Linked DNA regions of Styela clava. The protein of the gene in region 1 purifies or fractionates together with the protein of each later gene. This does not show direct contact. Links are inferred from orthologs where the notes say so. Each region holds a gene or a part of one and is shown on either strand. Other genes may lie near its edges. The genes, in order: cell division cycle protein 27 homolog, anaphase-promoting complex subunit 11-like, ubiquitin-conjugating enzyme E2 S-like and serine/threonine-protein kinase Nek2-like.

What was found.
Region 2: the proteins of cell division cycle protein 27 homolog (region 1) and anaphase-promoting complex subunit 11-like purify together in Homo sapiens (affinity purification with mass spectrometry; 8 studies listed by BioGRID, with this or other methods). This does not show direct contact. The link is inferred for Styela clava from reciprocal best matches to the Homo sapiens genes CDC27 and ANAPC11.
Region 3: the proteins of cell division cycle protein 27 homolog (region 1) and ubiquitin-conjugating enzyme E2 S-like purify together in Homo sapiens (affinity purification with western blotting; 4 studies listed by BioGRID, with this or other methods). This does not show direct contact. The link is inferred for Styela clava from reciprocal best matches to the Homo sapiens genes CDC27 and UBE2S.
Region 4: the proteins of cell division cycle protein 27 homolog (region 1) and serine/threonine-protein kinase Nek2-like purify together in Homo sapiens (affinity purification with mass spectrometry; 6 studies listed by BioGRID and IntAct, with this or other methods). This does not show direct contact. The link is inferred for Styela clava from reciprocal best matches to the Homo sapiens genes CDC27 and NEK2.

What each region holds. Positions count from the first base shown.
Region 1 is NC_135260.1:19,715,376-19,722,721, forward strand, and holds the start of cell division cycle protein 27 homolog, read right to left. Parts: upstream 3,030-7,346; 5' UTR 2,826-3,029; coding exon 2,799-2,825; intron 2,372-2,798; coding exon 2,296-2,371; intron 1,273-2,295; coding exon 1,125-1,272; intron 193-1,124; coding exon 1-192. UniProt on the Homo sapiens protein: Component of the anaphase promoting complex/cyclosome (APC/C), a cell cycle-regulated E3 ubiquitin ligase that controls progression through mitosis and the G1 phase of the cell cycle.
Region 2 is NC_135257.1:2,785,975-2,792,490, reverse strand, and holds anaphase-promoting complex subunit 11-like, read right to left. Parts: upstream 1,513-6,516; coding exon 1,374-1,512; intron 1,236-1,373; coding exon 1,120-1,235; 3' UTR 515-1,119; downstream 1-514. Other genes in the region: fumarylacetoacetase-like, read left to right, coding at 1-507; evolutionarily conserved signaling intermediate in Toll pathway, mitochondrial-like, read right to left, coding at 1,876-3,402. UniProt on the Homo sapiens protein: Together with the cullin protein ANAPC2, constitutes the catalytic component of the anaphase promoting complex/cyclosome (APC/C), a cell cycle-regulated E3 ubiquitin ligase that controls progression through mitosis and the G1 phase of the cell cycle.
Region 3 is NC_135262.1:5,818,969-5,826,322, forward strand, and holds the start of ubiquitin-conjugating enzyme E2 S-like, read right to left. Parts: upstream 3,001-7,354; 5' UTR 2,787-3,000; coding exon 2,778-2,786; intron 2,505-2,777; coding exon 2,357-2,504; intron 1,203-2,356; coding exon 1,012-1,202; intron 224-1,011; coding exon 1-223. Other genes in the region: cytochrome b5 reductase 4-like, read left to right, coding at 5,515-7,161. UniProt on the Homo sapiens protein: Accepts ubiquitin from the E1 complex and catalyzes its covalent attachment to other proteins. Catalyzes 'Lys-11'-linked polyubiquitination.
Region 4 is NC_135255.1:6,135,237-6,142,126, forward strand, and holds serine/threonine-protein kinase Nek2-like, read right to left. Parts: upstream 3,004-6,890; 5' UTR 2,995-3,003; coding exon 1,549-2,994; 3' UTR 5-1,548; downstream 1-4. Other genes in the region: serine/threonine-protein phosphatase 2A regulatory subunit B'' subunit gamma-like, read right to left, coding at 3,977-5,326. UniProt on the Homo sapiens protein: Protein kinase which is involved in the control of centrosome separation and bipolar spindle formation in mitotic cells and chromatin condensation in meiotic cells.

The DNA.
Region 1 (7,346 bases):
GCGAGTAAACAATGTTCAGCAAGATCAGGTCGTTCTGTTCGAAGATAAGTTCTTCCGAGTAAACTGAGAGCAAAACATGATGATTCACCAAATTCAGAATGAATATCATTGATAATATTGGTGATATATTGCGATCCATTCAATTGTCTTGGTGAAAAATTAAGTCCGAAAATTTGTTCTACCTTGGCATACCTGAAAAAAATGGTATCAAATTAGTATCAAAACAATAGAAATACAGGTTGCAATCATAATGAGGATGAGGATGCCTCGAGTAACCGACTCAACTAGGGTAATCATTTATTGAAGACTCAAAAGTAACTCGCGTTTTTGAAAAAAATCGTTATCTATGCCATTTAGACTTGACCCAATAATTGACTCAAACTCGACCAAGACTTGGCTCATGGCTTGGGGTAAAGAGACTTCCACCAAATACTGCTACAGTAAAGTGAACTTATATTCTGACTTGCGTCAAGCATTAAATTACCTTCAATAAACTAGATTACAAGAAAATACCTGTGATCAATTATTTATTCAAAGCTCCAACATAAATTCAGAAATCAATAGCAGTTTACCTAAGGTCTAATTCAGGGTGGTCCAAGGTTGTGGGCTCCACAGGCCACAAAATTATTTTGGTATTTGTCGCGGGCCACAATAGTACCAAGAATAGGTAAACAGTGCAATACAAAACAAGCACTTCTATTGTGTAAACACATAGTTGCCAACCTAGGCTAATGGAATCCGCATCCGATTTAGTTTTCTACCAATTAGTTTTCTACCATGCCTATATTGTTAGCATATATTCCCGACCAATACGATTTAGACTGCCCATCACATCTTCAACTTCGCTAGTTGCTTCAGCTAGCCATCATACTAGTGTAACTAGTCAATTCAGTCACAGTAGTGATATAACAACAATATGTTAAACGATTTTTCTGATTTATTTCATGAGAAGCAATTTAAAATACGATATTTTGATTAGGCCTACTCTCCGAATACGGCGCTGGCCACAGATAATGGAGCGTCGGGCCACATGTGGCCCGCGGGCCTGGGTTTGGACCACCCTGGTCTAGTTAATCAAGTGTAAATGACAATCTACCAAGAGTGTTTGTTTAAAAAAATCTTACTCTTCCAATTCCCATGCACATTGTGCATAAAGTAACTTGCATTCAGGCATCGTCATCCCATGTTTATCAAGTAGCATTTGTGTTATTTTAGGTTTTCCTGATCTGTAATAAGCAGTCGCCAACAAGAAGAGCGAATCACTTGATGCAACTGTAATAAAAAAAGTTTATATTAGACAGGATAGGAGGGTGGGTTGAGGTAATAAGATTTATATTTGTATGCTTGTAATATTGTAAGATTTCATAGTTTGCAAAAATGAATCACTTGGGTAAAATGTAGGGACAAACAAAGAACCACTCCAAAAAGTTATGCCATTTATGTCATGTCTTTCCCGAATATGAAATTTGATTTATCTTGGCTCATTAGCCGTTATAATTAACTTTGTTCATGTGAACCGTAATGGACTCAGAATCAGTTTTAATTGTTTCACTACATTAGCTGCTATTTATTCACAGACTGAGAGGTTCAAAAATTTTAAACTCAAATTTCTGTATTAAAAGATTATCCGTAAAACTTCTTATTTATCTGCTTTATGAAAGTGCCAGCTTGAATTGTTTTAAGTCCTATCACAACCACCATTTACTGATATCTCTCTGTTGCAATGATCATAGTAAGTCATGATATTTTTACATTAATATTATGATTTTTACTACTATTAGAATATGATATGACAATTCTGTCGGAAAAAGTTTATTCACAATAAACAAGATAAGAATTGCATATTTGGATTATCAATTCAACTATCTGAATATAGATATCCCAAATTGCTACTAGTTATACTCCAATACAAAACGATATGTATAGTCAAGAACCATGCAGCATACAGTCCACAGGCCACGGACAGCCCATGGAACATATTCACGTAACAGACTTTGTATCCCATTATTTTTGAATGAGTTTCATATTTTGAAACTTGCATCATTCACCTTTTTGACATTGTGTTATGCCACAATTAGATGAAATTTTGTTTTGTCAAGGATTTAATAATATGATATCACTTTATTTTTCTTGTGTTGTGACTGAAGGGATTGTTCGATGGTTTGGCCCACAATGTCATATTTTGAATTTTGCTTGATAAATCAAATTATGAAATTTTCACAATTACTATTTTTCCTACATCAATCTGTTTGATATTTTTTGCAATTTCTTAAATAAAAAATATGAGAAACCTGCCTTCAGCAAATAGTCGTTCTGCCAGAAAGATTGCATCGGCAAAGGCATAATGGTTGAGAGAGTGCCATATTGCAGCCTGAAATTAAGACATGTATAATACTTTATTAATTACAACTTTATGATACCAACTAATCTTAGGCTATATAATCCTTTAATCACTTTTTGACCTGACGACACTGAAGAAATGAATAAAAATCGCTACAAAAAATTAAAAATGTGTCTTCTGAAAGTCAATGTTTGCAGATTATAATTGTAAAAACATTATTGTCCTACAGTCGGACAGTATTAATAGTTGCCTTGAGTATCTCGTTAAAGGCTTAAATATCAAAGAGCGAAAATTATTGGAGAATACAGGAAAAACTGACTGCTTCAACCATTGATTGATTTGCATTACAGCAATAAAACATTCAATTCTGCAATTGGAAGTGTTCTACAGTTCTTTGAGGTAAATGATGGTCAAAATATTCAAATACTAATGTTATAAACTGTATCGATGTGGTTACCTTGATTGGTTCTTGGATGATCGTCATAATCCTGTACCGGTATACACTAAGTTAATCAAATTAATCCAAAAAGTTGTACCGGTACCGGTATTCATTAATCGGGCGTTGGACTCTAACTTGGAGAAACTTTCATCAGATTGCTACAAAGACTGGATATAAACAAATGAATTTATACGGTTCGGTACTTATTAATACAGCAATACAGTATCAGTACGGTCTTACTACTTACTGAATACAGCGCGAAACACCGCAAAGAGCGCAAAACAGTGCGAAACAGCGCAAAACAGCGCGAAACAGCGCAAAACAGAGGGAAACAGCGCAAAACAGTGTGGAAACAGCGCAAAACAGCGCGAAAGTGCGCAAAACAGAGGGAAACAGTGTGAAGCAGAAAAAATTTTTACAATGAGTTCGGGGCACCTTGTTTTGAGTTGGAGTACCACGGCAGCAAATTAAAAACACAAACCAACGTATGTAGCCAGTAATGCTGTAATGACAGGTCTGCCCCTGCTGGTGACACATTTTGGGTACCATAATTTAGAACATTTTCCATATGGATATGGTTGGCTTTAGGGTTAGGGTTAGGTAAAAGGGACCTCCAGAAGTATGTGCACCAAGATGGCGCACAACCTGAAAAGAGTATGTGTGTGTGTAGCGGATTCAGGTTGTGCGACATATTGCTGCACATACTTCTGGAGCACCAAAAAGGTAGATAAAATTTCGCATGGTGACCTATAATCCGGTACATAACCTTGTAAATATGCCGGAAATAGCGCCATAAAACCATGGCGAGAGGCGCCGTGGTTCTTTCGTGGCAGGAGGTGGTAATGACTACGTCTCCTGTTTTGCGCTGTTTCCCTCTGTTTTGCGCTGGTTTCCTTCTGTTTCGCGCTGTTTTCCTCTCTTTTGCGCTGTTTCGCGCTATTTTGCGCTGTTTCGCGCTCTTTTGCGCTGTTTCGCGCTGTTTTGCGCTCTTTGCGGTGTTTCGCGCTGTATTCAGTAAGTAGTAAGACCCGTATCAGTACAAGCAACTAGCAACTACCGGTACGCTCCGACCCCGCGACCTTTCCGACCCGCAACCTTCCCAAGAAAACGCAAAATCTGCCCGTTGAGTCTCGACACTGAAGTAGTTTTTATTGTCTTTCTTGCAATGTGAGCACCCATTATATGCGCGTGTTATCTGCTTAAAAAAAATTATTTCCCCGTGTCACCTATGAAAACTACAAAGTTACTATAAGCTTCAATTTGATTTAAATTTAGAATAGAGTCACGCAATATAAATAGTTTTACTATAATTTTCCACTATAGCAAAAATCTCTCTCTTTAGTATTCCAAAATAAAGTCTTCTTAAAAGGAAAATGTAGGTAACCCAAGTAGCATCGCGCGGATTATGCCGACCACGTTCTTACTGGAATTATTTAAACCAGAGATGTGCAACCTTTAATACAGTGGGCCACCTAATTTAAACATTAACGTATAAACGCAAACCATCAAAATGGAAATATTCATCTCAAATGATTTCATTTTCGAATAAAACCTTGGACCGCAGTCAATTTCCAAATATAGGTATCTCAAGAGTTTTATTTTTATAAATTTATTGAAATCAACATTGATAATTGTCTTTGGTAAAGGATACATGAAAATATTGAGTAAGACATACAAGATATTTGTGCATTCGAAACGGCTTCTCTGATAGGTGATTTCCAATACTATATATATACCAGGGCTTTACGAGAAGCTTTCTAGGGGTACTAGGATGGCAGTTGAGTTTTCATGTGTTGCTATTTCCTTCATATATTCTTTAAACCAGTGGTTCTCAACCTTTATGGCGTACCGATAAAATTGAATAAGATGTACTCGCGGACCGACAAAAAATTGAAATGAGTGGAAGAGAAAATAATAACATATATATATTTGCGCAATATAACGAAATGCTGGGCACCCACTATGCTTCTAGATAAAGAAGGCACACTTGAAAACATTTTACATGTATAAAAACAAATAATGCGTCGGCCAAAAACCGAAATGAGTGAATCAAACTTGGCCCAGAAGAAGACATAGATGCTTTGTTGGTCAGCTGATCTCATATTTATCTTTCTGCAGTTAATCAACGCATCAAACAAAATTTACATTAAGATGAATAGGTCATCGTTAACTTGGCACCAGGTACACAATCCTGCTGTGCATCACATGGAAAAGATCTCTGCGGCCCATGATTTTGTTGTGCGCCTCGTGACCACCTGTGGGGTCGCAACAAGCTCATATTTTACTAGATGTCAAGGCGGACCCCTGGGATATTATACTGTCAACGACTGTTTTCTGCCTTAAACAAAGAAATATTCATAACCTTTTATTTGGATGTTCATATCGAACAGGAAAAGCATGCAGAACAGAAAAAACACGTGTGTCATTCTTTGGGTTTCTGAATCTCGCGAGGTTGAAGGATGCTTTCGCGATGAATCGGAACCGAAAAAGCGAGAAGTGTGATTACTCGGCGCCAATACGTCTTTAATACCGCGAACAGCAATAGGTTGGCGAAAGAGAAATAGCGTAATGAACAAACCCAACGTCGTTATTTCGCGTTCGGTAAAGCGATTTAAGACGGTTGAAAAACACATAAAAATTTCTCGCGGAACGACAAAAAAGCTTCCGGTCCGTGGGCCAGCGGCTGGGAACTACTGCTTTGAAAAACAGTTTATAAATTATTAGTCAATATATTACAATTTACAACTTTGTTTGGTGTCTGATTACTGGGAGTTCGAGTTGATTATTTCACGACTCGGAGGTACTTAACAGGAAAAAGGTTGAGAACCCCTGCTATATACATAACTTTCACAACGACTTTTGAGAATATATTTGACGACTGTCAAAGCTTATTAAACTTCGCGAAGATATGTATTCAACTCTTATTTGCCATTTATGGGACTAAGTATGATACAATTCCTCTTAACAATGAAATTGTTTTTTATATGAAAATGATTGACGGAATCCCGACATCTTTGGATTGCTGGTTGTAATTTGTAATTTGTAAATCGTGGAAAGGATATAGAAATAGAATATTGGGTAAATCAGCTGTTTTTGCTCGATAGTTCGTGTTTTAACTTAAGTCATTCTAATCCTAAAATTAGAAGCAATCTATTAGTCGTAAAATACGTAACAATCAGACGTCCTATATAGGTTACATGACGATATCGCGTCATGCTCTGAGGATACTAAAACCAGCATAAAAGCGAACATTCGTTAGGAGAAAAAAGGATAACTACGGACAAGTAATTAACGAACCTCGGGCCTGCAGTGCAACTTGGTAATTTTGCCTGGCTTATCAGTCATGATTTGGAACTGTCCTTTGTATTTGTAAATTATACAATTGCAATATATGTATTCGGAACCAGGTGTATGTCTTCATCAGATCAGAACAGCAGAATCAGACAGCAAGTATTCATTTATTCCCTAAAAGGATTCTAACTTATTGGAAATTCAGTGAGCAAATTGAAATATTAGTTAATATGTCGATTGCTCATGTTTTATCGTATTTCGATACCTGGTTATTTAATCAGTTGTGGAACAGTGTTTGGGAACTTCAATGAGAATTTGTTTATTGCATGTGGTGAAATATTTGTCTGTTATGATAAACGATCCGTGAATTGAGTTTGCAGTTGCATCCGAAAGACCAGTAACCCAATAAGACTGATTAGGTTACAATTTTTCAGTTTTAGAGAGAATTTTGTAATGAATATTTTTGTCTCTTCCACCATACCTGCTATTCCGGACGTATCCCGTAGTCAGACCTTCCATTACAATTATCGCAGTTTTATATCGTCATTGATTGATTAAATATTTTGATAAACCAACCCTAGAGTCCTTGCAACAACAAAAAACAACAAAACAAAATAGCCGGCTAACTAATCCCATGCATAGACTGGTAACCGTACGAGTGGCTGTGGTGGTACGCTATGTGAGTAAGCCGCCTCCCTCTTACCCGGGATAAAAATGATATCCTACCTCCAATACCGCCTTCCAGTGGCGGCGCGTGGTCATTTTGACAACCGGGGCAAGCTACTGCGGGACCAAGTCACCCCCATCTACGGGGATAGGATGAGCGCTGTAAGTTCTCCCATCATTTTATGAGCACAAAAACCATTCCATCGGTAACAGCCAATCGGCAAAAGCGACAATTTTCAACGATAAGAAAGTGTCTTTAAAACCGGTCCAAGTCAAGGGATTAATAAATATAGACATAGTTTATTTTGAAACCTCTTTCAAAAGGAAAGGCAATATTTACCCAGATAAATACAATGACATATTAACAGAAACTTCGGGAAAGCAGACAAAACCTAAAATAAGGTTTAAAACATTACTATGAAGAAAGGAAAGTTAATGCAAAGATAAGGACATGCGTCGCTCACTGATAGATATATATGCTACTAGACTTCTACTGCTTGAACATATATGCAACACGCCGCGGTTTCTTGGAAGCAAAATGCTCAATAACGCGCTGATCAAAGTCATGCATCCCAGAAATAACGTCTCTGTGAATGGATAAAACAGCCA
Region 2 (6,516 bases), on another chromosome or scaffold:
AATTTTGGAACATCTATATCACCATGGGTGGTAACAATGGAGGCTCTTGCTCCATTTGCGATACCAAATTATCCCAAAGATGTTGAAATTCTACCGTACTTGAAACATGATGATAACTATGCATTTAACATCAACCTGTCTGTGGCAATAAGAGATAAAGACATGGTCGAACCCGCAGTTGTCTGTAAGTCTAATTTCAAATACATGTACTGGACAATGAAGCAGCAACTTGTTCATCACAGCATTAGTGGATGCAATACCCAAACAGGGGATCTGTATGGATCGGGCACAATTAGTGGATTGGAGCAAGATAGTTTCGGCAGCATGCTTGAATTATGCTGGAAGGGAACTCGCACTGTTGATCTCGGAAATGGAAAATCAAGAAAATTCTTGCAAGATGGAGACAATGTTATTCTATCAGGATTTTGTCAAGGAGAAAATTACAGAGTAGGATTTGGAACCTGTGAGGGGGAAGTTCTACCTGCAATAGATGCATCACAGTTTTAGACGAAAATTGACGACGCTACTTATTTATTATGCACAAAAATGAAATTCAGCCGAACTGTTGTCAGTAGAATCATGTGTGGCCTTTTCACCTTCGTTGCCTTAGCATTGTGATATTGCGTTGGTTTTTATACTATAGCCAAAAATAAATAATGGATGAAAAACAGCGCCGTTGATGTAGCAGTAATGTCTGGGCAGATCAGTGGAACTCACACTAAAACGAAATCGATATTCCTAACTCAAATAGGATCCCATCCATGTTACAAATTAGCAGCTAGTTTGTCCCAACTCTTTAGATTTGTAATTCAATTGCATCCATTCAACCAGAAAAAAAGTCCTCTCCATAACAAGTGGTTACTGATATCATAATCAAATTAATGCTCAATCATCAACTCAATTTCGTCAACTACCTGCCAAGAACTCGGCTAATAGTGCATTTTTTTAACGTTAATGAGGCTACATATAGCAGCATACACCTAAATAATGAGAAGATGCCACCAGATATTCTCAACGACACTTAGCCACATTTTTCCAGGGCTGCTCCAGTTGAAATCCTGTCTGCACATTGGACACTGTTGATTGCTACATTTTCACAATGCTTTTCAAGTTGATAGTTCACTCTTTGAAAACCCAATCCTGTCTGCACATTGGACACTGTTGATTGACTTGTTGTGATTGAAGCCACTTCAGTATGCAATGCATGTGAAAACAATGCGAACACTGTCCCCATACTGCAAAACAAATGATATCATGAATTTTATTTATATTCATGATCTGATAAGCAACACAATTCAGCCTCAGTGCTTTCTCTTAACTCTTAACCAATGCTCTGCTCTCTCTTAACCAATAACTCTTAAAAAATAACTTACCAATAGGGCAATCATCACCCGGTGCTTTACAATCAGAACAAAAGCATTCGAACGGATCACGACATATTCCACAATTGTCATCTGATGCTTGCCAACACCATTTTGCAACAGCATGCACTTTGACTATCTTGAACTTCATTTTTAAGCTGGTTAAAAACAACTCTACACAAACAAATATCTAAAAGTAGATGATATAAATTAAAGTATACTCAGACATATTAAATTTTATCGAAAACAACCAAAAATTTGACATGAATGTGGTACACACAAAAACTTAACATGATCCATGTAAAAAGAGCTATGCTTTTAAGTGATTTTTGTGACTTTGCTTTTCCTACTATTGAGGAATAAATCTGCCCATGTATTGGAGTGAAGAACTGCACAAAGCCAAGTTTCATAAAGTTGATAAAGAATCATTGATAAAGTTTCTAAATATATTATTCGCATTTTTACGCAATTATTCATAGATCATGTATACATTTCTGCACCTTTACTATATCGATCAACCACGGTGGTCATCTTTTATGTTTTGTGGGCCAATTTTATAACCTTCAGACAAAAAATTTACTTTTTCATTAAAAATTACAGTTAATTGTGAGAGCTTCGGATTGGAAGGCTCTAAACCCTTGACCCAACTCCGCAGAGCACCAATAGACTTATGATCAGTTGCAGCAACTGCAAATACATTACCCTCAAAGGGTTTAGTGTCATCTTCAACTTGAATTATTTCATTCTGCTGCAAGTCCACAAAACTTTTACTTTCTAATTTTACTCTAGGCAAGAAACTTTCAGTTGAATATAATTCTTGCGTAGATTTATTGAAAAATCTTTTGGAAGTTCCAAAGTCTGAACCATAAAACTGGGTCCACCATTCCCTATCAGTTAACACTCGTTCTTGTTCAGACATTTCGGTCTTGTTTTCAATTGGGTCAGTTCTCATAATATAGTATTGAATTTTTTTATTTTGAAAGTACACCATATTAGGCCCTTCTACAAAAAGTGGCTTGGTTACATCATGGTGATCCAGCATTTCTCTTTGATGATCTGTTTGTACGCTTATTATGCAATCTATTTCTGCTTCCGGAGTCAATTTTTTATCATTGAGAACTGATGAGTCTACTTCAAATCTTCGATATGAAGCATCTATACCAGGATTCACTTGTCTCAAACCTCTTACAGCAATTTCAATGGGAGTCAATTTTTCTAATTCTAGTTTGGAGATAAGAAATGGAACAAATGCAGACAACCTAGGCTGCCAAAAAATAAGCTGCCTGGCAGACACAGTAGCTCGGCTGAATTTTCCAAAAAGTCTCATGCATGCATTATAAAATTCATCATTAATAAGGGCATTGTTTTTTGCCATAATACTAAATAATCTTCCACCAAGTTCATGATCTATAATTTTATCTTGCCACACCGATTTAAACCACTCGTCTCTTCGCATGCCAGTATGTTCTGATTGAGGATAACATTCAAGTATTTTTAAATACGCTTTGGATTCATGCTGGACATTGAATCGATCAAGATTATTTAGGGCAACTTGCACAAACTCCCTGTGTCCTCTACGAGTTTCACCTGCATCTTGAATCCACATGTCAACCATTTTGAAAAAGAGACGTTTATCCGCTTCAACAACATCATAATACTCTGCATCATCAACTAAATCTGTATGTTCCTGTGCTTTCCGTACATAGTATTCCAGAACCGCCTCTTCATCGTCAGGTGCAGACTCTGCTAACATCTGCTGGTACATGGTGTTTTGTGAAACCATTTTTCGTTTCACACTGCGCTCTACCGCTGTATCTTCTTCATCCATTTGAATAATACTTTTTCTTGCAACAGGTTGCAATACACTTTCTTCGGTATTATCTTCTTCAATTTCATTTTCAATCTTCTTAATTTTGTTCGATGACTCTCCTGATGAAAAATATTTCATGGTGTTGCATATATTTCTGCAACTTTTTGAATTCCTTGTAATTGGAGTGCAGAACTTAATCATTCTATAGCATTCATTAGTTTTACGAAACATGGTTTAATATTTACAGATCTCAAATATAATAATATATTCTGCTTTTCAGTTTTAATATGAAAGATGCAGTTAGTTAGAAATGTAGGTATACAATATACATAGAGACTGAGAGAGATTAGGCAGGCCTTATGACTTCGAAAGATATTGTTTCATGATGCATTTAAGTTATGAAATTACAAAATTAGGTATAAAGCTACTGATCTCATCTTGGATTTTTTCTAAAAAGGACGACAAACTTTTTCCTAATCAGCTAATCAGACTCAAGTTTGGTTTAAAAATCCCCTCCCCCAAACAGCCAACTGCCCAAAATGAATATAGCATAATATGCCGGTCCCAAAACATTTTTGGGGTTGAGCATGGAAACAACCAACAAATGCGCTCGTATATTCACGGAAAATCTATATTATATGGCTTAAATGAAACCTGATTCTGTTCCCTTGTTTTAGGTGGTTTATACTTAACTAACACTCATATAAGCCGAAATATTGAATGTTACGCAAAATGGGAATGCTATTATTACAGCATTCAGGTATTAAGTGGTTGAACGTCCCTATATTTATCTGTGTGTTCTTATCCCAGTACTGGTACTATTTTTTTTTTTTTATAGATAAAATAATAATAATATACCAGTAGGCCTACTTGTACTATTTGGGCAAGTGCAGTTTCAAGTATTCCATGGCGTCTGCAGCTGCCGCAAAACCATGGCGGTATTTCCATACCATGGCCGCTACGGCCAAACCTATGGCGACTGACTTTTTAGCTGCCACAAACCAATGTCGATCTGCCGTTACCGCGGCAGCAAATTTAAAACCAATGGCAGGTAAAATTTTGCTGCCGTAACCGCGGCAGGTGGGCCGTAAGGACAGGGCTGTCCCTTATGGTGACAAATATTGGGTAAGTTGGAACGTTTTTCTTATGGATACAGTCTTGATGGATTTGGGGTTAGGGTTTAAGTAGATATAATTCCGCATGATCAATTAGAATTTGGTACATTAGTTTGTGAATATACCGTTAATACTGATTACTGAATACAGAATAGCGCTATAAAACCGCCATGAAGTGGTAAGAACTGCGCCTCTATTTGGGTCTGGTATAGTTTAGTACCACATTCACTTCTTGTTGGCCTGGCTCAACAATTTTTGCATATGTCAATCCTAACCCCCACCTGTCTACTCCATCTAAAAATTACGTCAGTGCGACCTCACAGTGACGTAATATAGCCCTTCAAAATATACAAACTGTCATCCAAGACTGTGCAACCCAAAGTGACCATAAACTGGTGCAACCGAAATCGAACAGCTATTTCTCTCGTTTTCTCGTCGCAACGATCCCAGTATGAGAGAGATCGCTGACATTAGTCAGTTCTTTATCTTTATCGTCTCATCAGAGCCATTATATAACTAGTCTGGAAGGCCGTATACTGACCTGCAACACCGTGCAACTAACTTGTCCCATTATGGCGTCATATGGACGCCATTTTCGATCATTCGGGTCGAGTAGTGTAACGCAAACAAGCCTAGTTTTAGTAGTTTTAAATAGTTATTGGGGAAGATTTAAAGGAGTAGTTATATTCCGAAAGCGCAGAAATCCGATAAGGCGTCCCAGTCAGTATCGAACCCAATATGAGGCACTTACATTAACAACCCACGCCGCTCGGTGACAAACAAAATATAGACGCAACACACGGTTAGTAAAGTGAATGCAAGTCAACACACACACACACACACATAGCCTACGGAAAATGGGGAAAGTAGGCAAAATCTAAAATTATTTCAGACTAGGGCTATCGGCCGTCCCCGCAATGACAGGGACAGTCCCGGAATTGACGTCTGGCGCCCCGGGCCACGGTTGTCCCGGAATTTACTGACAACCAGGGCGTTCTGAAATAGCTTGGGCTATTTTTGGCTTCTGCCGTCACATTCGAAATACCCTATTTAGCCATTTGGGGTCCCATGATTGGAGTGTTTCACACCACAACAGGCCTAAATGACTAAAACGAACTGAATTTTCGACAGTAAAGACGACGTCCGCGGTTGCATTCGTTAAATGAAACAAAGGCGACCAGAATAATTTGATGGAAATTTATATTTATCTGAAAACTAAATTCAATGGAGTTTGGACGATAATAATCAGAAAAAAATAAATAAATTGGCTATGTATACATAGTGGATCAGCGACAAATTTTCAATGTGATGAGAATGTGTCTGAACGTGAAAAATAAATAAGTGCAACTCAGTGATACATACACAGTATTGAATAAAAATAACACACTGGATAGGGAAAGATGATTTTGATTCATAGGTTTGTCATAATCTGAAACTGTTTCAAAATTGCATGAACTTTATATACATTTTGGGATTTTCACAAACTTGCACTCTAAAACTGAATGTAAATACTTACAAGTAGCCTATACTTATCAAGAAGTTTTAGCAGATGGGTTTTGAAAACGTTTCTGACCAACATAAGAGGGTCAAATCAATGGAGCTTTCCCCGACCTTTGGGGCTATTTTAAGAGTGCTTTTGCAAGTTGGCGTCTGTAAAATGGGGTATATGTTTCAAAACATCATTATGATTCGTTGCATACAACAATCTGTTTTTTAAAGGTACCGGTGAAGAATTTCAGGCTAGTCTATCACAGCTATTTCTACACTAATTTTTATTACTGCAATTAAATTAAAACTCCTAAGAAGACAGAGTGATCATTGAATTATCTGATTTATATTTAAGTTTCCAAAACACAACTGAAAACTAACGAATAGAGTTCAAAAACGCGAAAACGAGGTAATGTTTATAACCACGCTGGAAAATCTGTCTGAGTGAAAAAAGTGTCTGAGCGGATGCGAAAAGGGGGCATTGTTACGTTACTTTTTGCATTTTGCTGATTGGCCAATGTCACGAAGTAAACAAGGAAGTCGATGCTCGGGGAAAGGTCCATAGGAAAATTTTCATAATTCTCATCTTGAGAATCGTGTTTACAAAACAAAGCAAGCAATGATCATCATAGGAATAGTGAACATTTTTATTTAAATCTTTGGTGTAACAGTATGATTCATGAAATCATATACAGCAGACCAGAGCCATTATATACTAGTCTTGAAGGCCGTATACTGACCT
Region 3 (7,354 bases), on another chromosome or scaffold:
TTTTGTTTGCTGGACCACTTTCTCCAGTGGAACTATGATCACTAGAACAAGGTCTATCATCTGCTGGTCTTGTACTTGCCAACTTTCCATTTGGCATAGCATGAATTTCAGTCATAAGTTTGGCCCGAGAGGCGTAATCTTTGTAATGTTCTAATAAGAGTCTTCCTGCTTCTTCGTTTAACGCAGATTCAGGATTTGGATGAATAAGAAGACATTTGACAGTCTAAAACACGAAGAAACAAATATAATCGAAAAACTAAATAAAAATTTAACGCCAATGGGTCAGAAGCTGACAAAAAAATCATGATAATTTTATACACAAAGCAGAGAGCAATGAGTTTTGACAATCGTTGGATTCAGTTGACACACCTTAAGTCACAGCCATTTGATTGTGAGAGCATAGCAGGCATTTATGATTGAAATACACTAAATTCATATTCAAAATCCGAAATAAATAAAATTAAAAAAAAAGATAATCATCAACCATGCAACAGTGACGAATACTGATTTGTCATGATGATCTTAACTTCAAATTGGGTATAAAGAATATTGCTGACTTTCAAGAAGAATCTTGATTTGGATTCATTTTTGCATTCTTAGAAAACCAAACTACTGTTGTAAGCTGCAATGAATCTAGATGTTATTCAATTTTCATAACTTATTTCAGTGACTGTAAATTTTTAATCAAATGTCGCACATTCATGCTACACAATAAATCATACTTGCTTTTGTCAAAAAAAAATGATTGATGACAGAATATTACTATGGCCGTAGCAATTAAAAGTGAATGAATAAGTTGCCTCATACCAGAATTCAAATGTTTAATTTAATTTTCAAGTCATTAAAAATTGTTGGTTTTTGGCCAGTTTGCTCGAGGATCACATCATGTGATTACATCTGAATGTTGGGTGCCTAACACGACACTATGTGACAAAGCTGGCACTGACTAAAAATTCATCATTTATTTCCAAATTTGACATACACAAAAACAATAATATAAAATGTACATACCAGGAGTACATTCCTTATTCCCATTTTCGAATGCCAATCCTTTTTCAAAACATTGACACAAATTTCCCCAGAACTGCTCACATTTGGGTGGAATATTTTAGTGGTAAAAAATCCCTTGGGTGGACTCGCAGGAAATTCTTTAGTTAGGCAGAGTTTCATTTTAAAAATACCCCCAGCATACGGTGTGCCCTCTAAATGGACAAAAAATTCAATAGCTTCCAGCCTGTATGGATGCTTACAAAGAAACAAACAAATACAAAGAAACATTTTTTGGGCAAACCTGGACTGGGAAAAGTTTTTTTCTATGAATACATTTCAAGGTCATAAGAGTTTTTTTCATTGTTCGTCAAGATAACTAAAAAAATATTTTTTAACTATATACTTTTATAAATGTCTTGCCCAAAGCAGTTAATAATACATATTGTATCCAAGGAAGCCACATTTATTCAATGATAAATCTACTTTGATATCCTTTTATAATTTTTTGCAATATCGTGCAAAGCAATGTGATAGGTCTAAAAGAGTGGGCATTGTGAGTTGTAAGTGACCAGTGACAGAATCCTAAAATATTCAGTGAACGTAAGACTTAAAACACTAGGCTAGGATTTACATATTTATCCTAGGGCAGGGGTTCTCAATCTGGCGTTCGCGAACCCCCAGGGGTTCATGAGAAGATTTTCAGGGGTACTTGGATGGCATTCGAGTTTTCGTGTGATGCCGTTTTTCAATGACCTTTACTACCGGAGGAAAATGCGTGCCGATCGAAACTCAGCATAGATTTTCCCTGATCTTGCGTTGTTGCGATTGAGACGCAACAATGTAAAATCCACCGCTTTGCAGCCAAACTGTGAAATCTCAAAAGACAGTGTTCTGCAGGCATTGCAGAAAGTGATAATGCTTATTGAAACTTGAGAGAGATTTTAAGAATTTAATAGTTAGGCAAAGGACAAGGGTAATGACATCAACACGAAGATTTAATCTAGCTACAGCAGTTTGTCAATAAATTGTTGTTGCAGCAAATTGTTAGTCAATAAATAATAACTTTGATGGGTGAATGGTGTCTGATTACCATGAAGTTCGCGATGATTGTTTCATGACCTGAGGGGTACCTAACAAAAAAAAGGTTGAGAACCCCTGTCCTAGGGGAAAGCCGATAAGAGGGCTTAATCACATAGCGAACCATGGCCTCTCGTCCGGTTACCAGTCCATGTCGAGTATAGACTTAGTTAGCCAGTTATTTGTTTCAAATGCGTAAAGTTGATGGTGGAGAAAGCATGTGAAGCAAATCCGTTCCACAATACTTCAGTTTGGCAAAAACTTTTTTTATCAATAATAAAACTCATACGTGGGCCATCCAAAATTGCTTGAATTTCTGACACATCCTCTTCATTCGCAGTGACTTGAATTCCTTCAATTGGTTCTGTTGCTAAAGATTTCAACTCTTTATAAACTTGTCTCACTACTTGAGGGGATAGATTTTCTTGATTTCCATGCTGAAATAGATAAACAAATTTTTTCCAATACAGCAATATTGCACCAAATGAAATCTAATGACAGAATGCAGGAATAAATGTTTCATTTTAAGGTCAGATATTTAAAACGAAAATGCGAAATTCTGTACTTAGTCCAATTAAAATGACCAGTTGGAGCTTAGAAAACGACTGCTTCAGTACTGTGACCCATAGCTAAAATAAAAATCCACTTAAATATATTCTATCTGCAATTCACAATTTATCTGATTATTACTGTAATACTGTGAGACTCACCATTGACATTTTTCAGCTAAGTGTCCCTCCTACAATCCTATGTCGACTTGGACTAAGTAGCCTGCAATCCAATATACGCGAAAGCCAAACCCTTTCTATATTTTCTGTGTTCAAGGCTTTGGTATGAGGATTAAAAGAACAGTACTACGACGTTGTGACGTCAGATGCCGTTGATTTAAAACTAGTCACGTGACTAGAGTCAACATTGTTCTTAGCATCGTTTTTGTTTAGTTCTGGCTTTATTTTCAACACTCCTGCTTGGAAATTTACAATACTAAATAAGTGTTTATAGCAGTAAACTATTGTATCTCAAGATGATGGCGTAACTCGTTAACGATCTGTCGCGGTTTGCGAGTGGCAAGAGAAGATAAAAAATATTGTTTTGTTGCTTCAAATCGTTCACAATAGGCAATAACTTTATTCCAGAAACAAAATATTATACATTAGGATACCGGATTGCATTGCTAACAATTGTTTATTCATTTTATAAAATAGTCTGGATATCATAATTTCGCTACAACAACAGGTGCATTCAATTACTTGTATGTGTGAGATCACAGCAAATTCAGCTGCTGCAGAGATGCAAGGTGAAAACTGAAATTTAATTTATGCGCTAAAACGGTTTTATTCAAACTAATTTAAAGTACTTTTTCGTGCCAAGCGTGTTTTTCAAAGACGCTAAGAGACATTATATACATTGCAATATATATAGCGATGTGGCGCTTGGAATACGCTCGCCATTGCACATCTGATTACCCTACGTGGGTTCGCAGGTTTGAATCCCGTGGAGAAATTTATGTGCGATAGGGTTACTGGACTCCTCGCAGCCATAGGGTGGCTATTGTAACAGCGCGTCTTCCTCCACCACCAAGTCCATGCAGCGAAAAAACAGAGCCATTACAAATTTTCAACTGTGGGCCCAGAAGTGTACAACTGGGATGCGAAAATGGAAAATTTTTATCGATTGTTTGTTTACATGCCGCCACACATCACACGCTATTCACTGTTTTTGAATATATTGCATGCAACCTTATTACAGAATGAGACACCTCAGCATTGTCAATATTTATGTTTATTTGTTTAGGTTTGTGACTCTTTCTTTTTCGGTGGGTGGACGCGTTCAATACGTTTTAAACTTGTGTACGTATATTTTGTTTTTGCGACTGAATCGAAATAAGATCTATCAACTTCGTTAGCTTCAATGGGTGAACTTTATTACAAATCAACCAATTTTGCAGTCATCTTGTGCGAACGTAGACTGAAGAGGGTCCGGTCGACCTATATGGCTGCTTTTATTGCCTATTGACATGTTTTTCAATAGCATTTGAAATATTGGAAAAAAACTGTTTGTTCTCCCCTAAAATTGACGAAACATTTTTGTTTGCTGCTCCAATGCGCAAATCCTTTGCTCTGCATCATTGCTTCATACGACATTCATTACATTTACGGTAACTTAACATTTCCCTCGCATCTCGGTATTTATATTCACTGTGCCTATTCTATTTATATGTATTCATTTATTTGTGTTCGTTTTGACAGGGGCATTCAGGATCTGGAGTTATAAATGAATTGTATTGATGAATTTCCCAGATGGCACTGACAGTCGCGTTGTATGGTACGCGGAAACGCGTTTTAATATGTGTTGCAGTGCGTCACATTTATGAGTCGCATTTTAATGCGATTACTATCAAATGCAATATGTTATTTTTCATATCGCATACCGTATACTAACATTTAAATGATTGATTACCCCGTAATACTAGGCACTTATTTCTGTATCTGCTCACGGCACTGTATTACTTAGCACAAGCTATAAGTATTCGGTTGATGCCGAGATGAAATCGAAAATTAATTAGGTACCGTAGTAATATGACGATGGGCATGAGGGAATTCAGGCATTATCTGCTGGTGCAGTGGTTGGGAGTAATATATTCAGTACCGGTACGGAATTATCTATGGAAAAAATAGAAAAGACAGTTAATGTTGAAAGCTGTACCTATAGTCTTGTATTCAGATGACCATGAACTGCTGATCTAGTGCCCCTACGCATGTACATACACTGTTGGTAGGATTGGGTCTGTATCAAGCTCACTATTGTAAATCTATCTGTCTATGACAATAGACAATAGGTTTGTTTCGTCGTGCAAGAAATCACAACACAAATTCAAAATAGGAAAAAGTAATTATGCGGTACAGTAGCGGATTTCATTGCAATTAACTGGAAGTCGCGAAGGACCAGAGATAGCATCATAAGTCTGGGACACCAAGATTGAAAACGAGTTAATAAAAATTGAAATAAATAAGAGAAATAAGCACAAAGAGAAACTTATTCATTCCATAAATAACCAACAAGATTGATATGAATCATCATATATGATTTGGAAGAGAATGTAAAAATAAAAGTCGGGGAAATTCAATTGATACACAGTAACTATAAAAATAATTCACCATATCATTCAGCTGTACTTCCGTACAATTGCAGCGATTAAACTTTTTATCTATTGTCATATGCAACATTAAATCGAGCGATCATTTTATTTGATGAGAATTTATTTATTTAATGGACTGATGCATATAAAGTATGTCTTATTGCTCACGTTTCTCATAATAATAATGAATTGGTACTGTAGTATGTCAGTGTATTGAACTCTTACTTACAAATTACTTTTGCCTTTTAAAGTATTGTAATACTGTGATATACTATACTCTGCAGTGCTTACATAGAGAAATTATTGTCATGTTCCCGTCACTGAATAGTCAGCAAAGGTTATCCGTAAATAATCCTACTAAACCCAGCAAAAAGGTTCCACTGAAACCAGGAAGGTCTCTCGTTGACTGGATACAACGGACAAAATCTGGAGAGGACTTGAAAAAGACAGGACCTCGATTACTACGTATAACGACAGATGAACTAGCCAAACATAACAAGCCTAATGATATGTGGATGGCATTGCGTGGAATGGTATACAACGTTACTGCCTATCTGGAATATCATCCGGGTGGTGCAGATGAACTGATGCGTGGTGCAGGGAGAGATGCCACGTCTCTTTTTGAAGAAGTCCATCGTTGGGTTAACTATGAATCAATGTTGAAGGAATGCTTAATAGGAAAGTTAATAGACACAAATCCAAAACATCTTAATCATAGTATACTGGCTCCTCCGACATCTTTAACAAGCCTAAATCCTCTTGGCGTGAACACTTTAAAAATTGACTCTGTTGGAGGTACTGCGGCAGGTGTACCTGAAATAAATCTTGAAGATTATACCTCAAATTCTGATGTGTCTATTTCCCTGCCAAATGAAAAATCTTCAGTTGAACCAACTTTGGATTGGTATCAAACAACAAAAACTATTGTAATCGTTTTGTATACAAAAATACCCAACTTTTCCAAAGATCATGTTGTATGTGATCTTTTGAATAAGAATTCAGCTGTACTAGATTTACACGTAGGCAAAATACTGCACACATTTCACATTGCTCTAAATCAACCAGTTTTATGCAGTATTCACATTGCAGTTACTTCCATTGGAAATGTACAAGTTGTCTTTACAAAAATGGACCCAAAAATACACTGGAGCACGCTTGGTGATGTACGACGAACTAAAGAAAACTTCAGCGGCAGAGACGTTTTTAAACTGAGAACATGTGAATGTTCTATTGCAAGTAAAGTTACATTGACTCACGATACTGACTTGTATCATATAAAAATGCCCTGTTCTCGACGAATGTATGTGCCCAAGGGATACCATGTCTACCTCAAAACTAGTATTGATAACATTGAAGTACAAAAACCTTATACTCCAGTTCTGAAGTCAATTTTGAATGAAAATGCAGAAAAATCACTTGAAACCGGATGTGATTTTTATCTGGCTATTAAACACTATGAAACTGGCGCGCTGACTTCAGCGTTGGGCAAATTATCACCGAATGATAAAATATCTGTAAGTGTATATGATGGAGACTTTGATGCAGAGACTATTTCAAAATATAACACGCATGTTTTGTTGGCAGCGGGTACTGGAATCACGCCTATGATTAGAGTTTTATATTCATTGTTGCGAGATCGAGATGATTCACAAGTTCATTTACTTTTTTTCAACAAAAGAATTGAGGATATTATTTGGAGAGATGATCTCGATGCATTTTCAGAAAACTATCATGGAAGATTTTTCACTCACAATATATTATCACAAGCCGATGAATCTTGGAACGGCAGAAGAGGAAGAATTTCCAAAGAAATGCTAGAAGAATATTTGTCAAAAATTGAAAATTTTGACAAAAATGATATTTTGTTCTACATATGTGGGCCGACTCTTTTTACCAACTCTGGTCTTTCCATAATTAAAGAGCTCGGATTCCCCAATGTCCATGCTTTCACATAAAATGCTTCAATATTCAAATTTTATGTACAGATTACCATTGGTCCACATAGTTCAATATATAATAAGTAGTGACCTAAGAATTTCCCACTTTTGATGCACTTATGTTTTTGTCATGCAGGAAAAAGAATTTGTTACTCTGTTCTATTTTCCCCTCCGCAACATAAAAGGCAAAAAAAGCTTCACAGAAACACTA
Region 4 (6,890 bases), on another chromosome or scaffold:
ATGATTTGCTATTATCCTGGTCATTTATTTCAGTTTTAAAAAAGATCCACGGCATAATAAAGTAATATCCTGGGACTGCTTATGTCATGTGTTAAATGCATGAAAGCAGTTATACGAAAAATGTCATCGGCATACTCTTATATGATAAATCCTGTGACGACTGACGAGTCAAGACTAATCCTAAAATAGTAATTATAAGCACAAGCAACAAGAAAACGGTCTAATATGTACGTTTATAGATCATTACCACGATCATTATTATAATGTTATTGCAAGGGAAGATGATATTTTTCCTTGAAACTATTTTTGTTTGTTGTGTGGCTGCCAATAAAAAATAACCGTTTTGTGCTGTGAGCAAGAAGAAATGTGAAATTGTGATTCATATGGGTATTTTACGCAACTGAAAAGTATAGACATAAATAAAGAAATAATAGCAGCAAAAAATTGAGCTATTGATTGAGGACAGCATACTAAAAATACAAGGATTATGACATAAACTTGAATTCCCGCCACTTTTAAAACACAGAAAATATGAATATGAATAAAATAATTTTCTAACATTGCTAATGCTAAATGAATAGCATATGATGTTTTAAAAATTCAAATTCCTATTGAAAACATAACCTATTTAAATTCTCAATAATATCAGACTGAGAGGTTTGTTGATCTTAGTAAGTATTTTTGGTCAGCAATAAATTCTTGTAAATTCCTTCAAACATTATTCCGTGCACTGCATAGAAAGAATACACATAGACAAATATAAGTGAAATTTGAGTGAGACGTGAAGAGAGACATATTAATTACATGTTGCTAGAAATGCAAAAAAATATTTTAAAATTTCCACCGTATGAAAAAACGTTGTGAACGAATGAAAGTATGCAAATAATGGTCATAGATTTGTGTATAATTAAATTGTTGTACAAAGAAAAAATAAGTCGCCTTTTCGGTATTACTGGATGCCGAATTTCCTTTTTGAAATTTACTATTAGCAACTTCCAATAAATGTTGCCTCAAATGTAATTTTTTTTTTAATTTCTGATATCACAGTTTAAACTTAAACAGTAGTACGGCAAGGCAAATCATCAACCAATAAAATGAGCATGAAACAAGTAACAGCAGAAGTATAAAGAAAAATGGAGCAGCCAAGACTATAAAATTTTTTTGTTAAAATCGCTTGAAAAAAAAAATTAGAAAATATAAAATTAGATCAATAGGAGTATTACAAGGATGAAAAGACCTTCTTAATCTGAACAATGTGTACCAATTGAGAATCAAATCGATTTATTTAGTAACTTGGTGACATTAATCATTCATTGGCACACATGATACTAATTGAAAATAAAACAAAACAGTGCTCTATAAATAAGTAAAATCCAGCACAATAATCTCACAGCTACGCAAAATTATTCAATTATCTAAAAACAGCATTATACATTCCAATACATTCTTGATATAGTTTGTGTTTCATGTTTTTGGTAAAGGAGTGATTATATTTGTACATCAAGTCATCATGTTTCCATTATATTTATTATCAAATATCGGAACAATTTATCTCATTCCTAGCAGATGCCTGTTTTTGATATTGTTTTCATATCTCATATTTGCCTGGTTTTGTAATCTCAAATCTCGAAGTTTATGTCTGTAATCTCCAAGATGTTTATCACTTATTGGTCCAACTCCGCTGAGTTTTCGGTATCTATAATCATCATGATATCCAGGATTATTTTCTTTTGACTCCATTGCAAAGTGAACTTGTTTCTTGCTTGGTAAAATACCAAGGCGTTCATATTTTTCGTGCAATGCTTCTGTTGACAATCCAGCTCTTGATAAAAGATCTTGTTTTTCAGCTTTCATCTCTCTGTATTGCTTGATAAGTGTTTCTGCATTTGTCATTTTTTCTTCTGCCATTCTTTCTCTCTCTTCAAGAAGTTTTTCTCTCCTTTTCAGCTCTCTCTCTTTTTTCTCAATTTCTCTCAAACGTAATTCAAGCCCTTCTTCTTTTGTTTTACCTTCAGGTTCTGGTGATTCTCTCTTCTCACTTTCACTACTATCACTAGATGATGATGACTTTCTTCTTTCCATTTTCTTATCCTCTATAACCTCTATTCCTACTTGAGGTTTTAATGCAGCTGGGCTAACTGGAGGTGTGAGCCCACATTTTTCCAGAGTATCTTGCAGTAAATCCATTTTCAAGATTTCATCAATGGTTGGTCTTCTTGCTGCAGAAGTTTTTAGCATCAGTGAAATGCAGTCTTGCAATTCATCACTATATTTAGATGGTATACGACGGAATTTACCCTCCTTGATTTTAACAGCTAATAACCTTTGATTCGCTGCAGTGAAAGGAGGCAAAAGTGCACAAAGCTCGTAAATTAAACATCCAAGTGACCAAATATCAGATTTTTCATTATAAGACAATTTATTCATCTGTTCTGGTGACATATAATACGGCGTTCCAACGAAAGTTTTTGCGAAACTTGTGTCGTGGTTCAGCACTCGTGCCAGACCGAAATCTCCAAGTTTCACATCATTAGATGAATCTAAAAATACATTGGCTGGTTTCAAATCACGATGAAGAATTTTTCCTTGGCCTAACTTCTTTCTTTGACTGTGACATTCCTGTAATGCAAGTACAAGTTGAGCAAAAACCCTCAAAATAAAGTTCTCCTCCATGAATGATCGTTCCTTCCGCTTCTTCGATATTATACTTGCCAGATCTCCACCGCTACAGTATTCCATAACAAGATACAGGCGACTACTGGTTCTGTCAATAATTCGATCGTAATATCTCACTATGTATTTGTGTTTTAATTCTCTCAGAAGATTGACCTCTGACACCAACTGCTGTTTTTCCGGCTCTGTCATAGAACCATAATCCATTTCCTTCCAAACCAGTGTCTTTCCATCACTTTTCCGTCTGATTTTCAGACATTTTCCATATGAACCAGAACCGATGGTATATAGAATATCGTAATCGCATAACTTGGATGGCATTTTGTTGATGGAGTTAACAACTAATGTAGGGTAATGTTACAACCTAGAAATATGAGAAATCAAAAAATATGTGTTAAAAAAGTTAAAAAAAGAGTTCATAACACAAATAGAGGATCCTGCGGCTATGGCAGGGAATGGCCCTGTTTTATTAATGGTAATCACAATATAATATGATCAGTTAGGTTGGGAACAGAATTGCAGAACTGGAACATTGGTTTCTAAATTGATCGCAGATTGATTGCTAGACAGGGTTGGTATAAATAATAAAAACAAAGTAAGCAGATGTATGGCTATGATACTGTAGATTGGTGGATTCATATTAAAATTATTTGGTAATCCAAAACTCTGCTCTGCAAATCATTTCTGAGTTTCAACCATTCATAATGATGAATGATGATGATATTTGAAATTCAGAGATAGCAATTGAATGAAATAGAAATATTGGAAAAATAGAAATTTAGTCAAAAACTCTAAGAAATTCCAGTTTATACAATATAGAAAATTATGAAATGTGTTATTTCTAAAAACAACCTTTCACAACTCTTGAAAGCCAAGTTGAAATTTTTATGAATCCAAAATTTTAATTCGAATACATAAAGTACTTCGAACAAAGTTCATGAAGATACCTAGGCCTATCTTCTAAATTTCAAGATCACCCAAGATATAATTATATCATAATATCACAAAATCATCAAATTTACATCTCCAAAATTCCAACTACACCAACTATGGCAAGGTGATTGGCATAAGTCAATTACTGTATAAACCAAGTCTCGCAAACCAAATGTCTTTCTTGTGTATTCATCAGCATTTTGTTTATATTTGCATACTCCCATTCCAAACAAGGCTCTCCACAATCATCTAATGATATGTAAATCATGTAAGCCCCACACAACGCATAACAACATTTTTTCATATCCGATTATTAAGATGCCTTGTGAAGAAATTGCAAACGTAACACAGTAGATAATACTACTAATTGTCAGACATCGTCATCTGCTGCAGAATCTACAACAAGAACTTCTCTGTTTTCATAGGTCCAGAATCCATTAAGATCAATCAAGATATTTGTTACAGTTTCACCTTGGCCACTGCTGATTAAATCTTGCAATGTTATTTTCAATGGGTCGTTAGGTTTCACCATATCAAAAATTTCATCTTTCACATCAGCAAATGATACTGGGTCCTGTCCATGCAATTTCATCATTTCCTGAATAGCTCTGAAGAAGTAATTTAAAGAAAATACATTCAGATACGCTCTGTTTTGTACATCAAGTAATTTGAATAGATATTGTAGCGCAGCAGGTTCTTTTCTATTTTCCATAGCAAGAACAAAATCGAGATAAGTTTTATAATCCATTTCACCGTCGTATGTTAAACACTCTTGAAAGACTCGATCAAGAAACACTTTAGTTAATGTCCCTGTTCCATATCTCGCCAGCTCTTCTTTGCTTAACATTCCGTTATGATCTTTATCAAGATTCAAATATTGTCCATAAACACGTAAAGCGGAAGGTGCAGAAAACCAGTTAGATTCTTGAACTTCTTTCGATAATTCTTCATCTCTGAGTTCTAATAAATCATCTAGAAATCCACAAGCAAGTATATCCTGAATTTTAATTCTACCCGTTCTCATCGGGTCCAGGAAGAAAAAAAATTTTCGAACCCCTGTACAGACGTAAAATGAATAGAATGATCTCTCAAGCCCATCAAGTTGAGGTAGAGTAGGAATGAGTTCTAGTATGTAATTCTCCAAATCTGCTTCTCTCAAATATCCTTGTCCGGCCACATCATATAAACTTAAACCAATTCTTGTTTGATGAAGCCACACTTTTCTCATAACATAATTAAAAAATTGTAAAATTGAAATTCTTCCCATATAATCTTTTTGATTTAACTTTGAAAAAATTATCGCTGTAAAAAATTGTTTGCATTTCTCTCCTGCTTTCTTCCCAACTTCCAGAAAATCTTCATAATTGATCATTTGTTCTTCATTTGTAGTAGGGGGTGTATGATGTTTATCAAGAAGATACCAAAGATTCTGTAACTCATCATTATCAAGCAATTCTCTGCTTCTTCGTTGAAGAAAAACAGCTCTGGATTCTTCTCTTAATTTTTGCAATAAAATTTCATCCTCAGCAGGAAGCCTGTAATAAAATCGTGGAATGGTTTTGTATGTTTCACATTTGCTGGTTGAACTGCCTCTCCATTTTGTATATAATTCAGTAAATTGATTCAACTCTTTTGCTGTTTTTTCCTCTTCTGTTTCAGCCGAAGTACTTGATGTAGCTTGTGACTGCAAAGCATTTTTCAATTTGGATTTCCAGTCCATGTCACTTTTTTTCAAATCCTTCCCAGAATATGTATGTATACAGGTAATTAAATAATGGAACAGACTTTTCCACTATCAAACTATAGGTTACCTGAAATATCAGTTAAAAAATTAAGTTATTAAAAATAAGAGTTAGTGAAGCTGGAGAATAAAATGCAATTAGTAGAAACATCAAATTCTCAATTTTATTTACAGATACCATGAAAATGTGAATACCCAACAGCAGACTGCATTATATTAACTAGTTATATACTACTAGTTATATCAACTTATATCAGGAGCCTGGAACTTTTTTGGTCAAAAGAGCCTTGAAAGGTACGTATATTCAATGACATTTCGGTGCGAGCCATATAACATTTTTTCACCACTTTATCATGTCTTGAATTTCTACTCAACAATTAGAACAAACAATATCAATATACAATTAATAATATGTCGCTGAGGGGCTTGAAGGACTGCTCACATTCAGCACAAGCTGAAATCCACGATACTCATCACCTTTCTTTCTTTTGGGCATCTCAGTATTGTAGTGCTTTAAAAATTAGCTTTGTCCAATCTAAATATTACAAATAAACAATACAAGCGGACAAAATACTTTAATTCCTTTATTGTTCCACGACTCTAACGCTTCGTGATATCACAAAATATGTTCCAGAATCCTAGATTCCGAGTTTTGTCACATTGCTAGTCTGGCAATTTCCTCGTATAACATTGACATTCGCTGAAGCGCTCGTTCTCAAACGTATTGGCAAATTTTCAGCCAAATTTGTCTATAAAAGAGGAACCTGTTCACAGTAGTAAGCTTAGCCTTAGAATATTGGATTTTTGTGGCAGCAATATGTTGTCACCAAAAGAGACATAAATGGCTCGCGAGCCATGGGTTCCCGACCTATGACTGTATGACTCACGGTACAGCGGTACAGGTGTATCATGATTAGGGATGTAAGTTTCAGAATTTCGAATCCAAGCGATTCGAATCAAACTTAATTCGAATCGATTTGAAGCAATTTAAGAAAAAACGGCTTGATTCTATTTAAAAAAAAATGATAATTTAGATACCACGCAGCGATTGCACAATGCAGGGACGAGTCTCAACATCGACCAAAAGCGTTTGTTCTCCTTGCGTTTAAAGCGTTCCCAGGTCGTAACACTCGGGGGTTGTTATATTCCATCTCATCATTGACCAAAAGCGTTTATTTTCCCTATGTTTACAGCGTTCCCGAGTTGGAACACTAGGAGTATTTTACATGGGTCACAGCTTTAGAGAAAACAATGTTTTTTAGACTATTTAAAATGTTAAGAAGTTTTACAAATCCTACATTATATAAACGTTTCTATTAATTACCTATGTAATGTCATTATAATAACAGCATTATTCCTCATTTAAAACAAAGGTCTGCGATTTCTTCCCTTGGTATCATTTGATTTCCTCTAAAAATACGGCGCAAACGGTACTAACACATGTCTCACTGGCGTTTATCATTTGGATGAATATTGAAAGTTAATTTCAGAAGAAACGATCACTATACAAACTACACAAAACTTCTCTAATATATTAGTACCG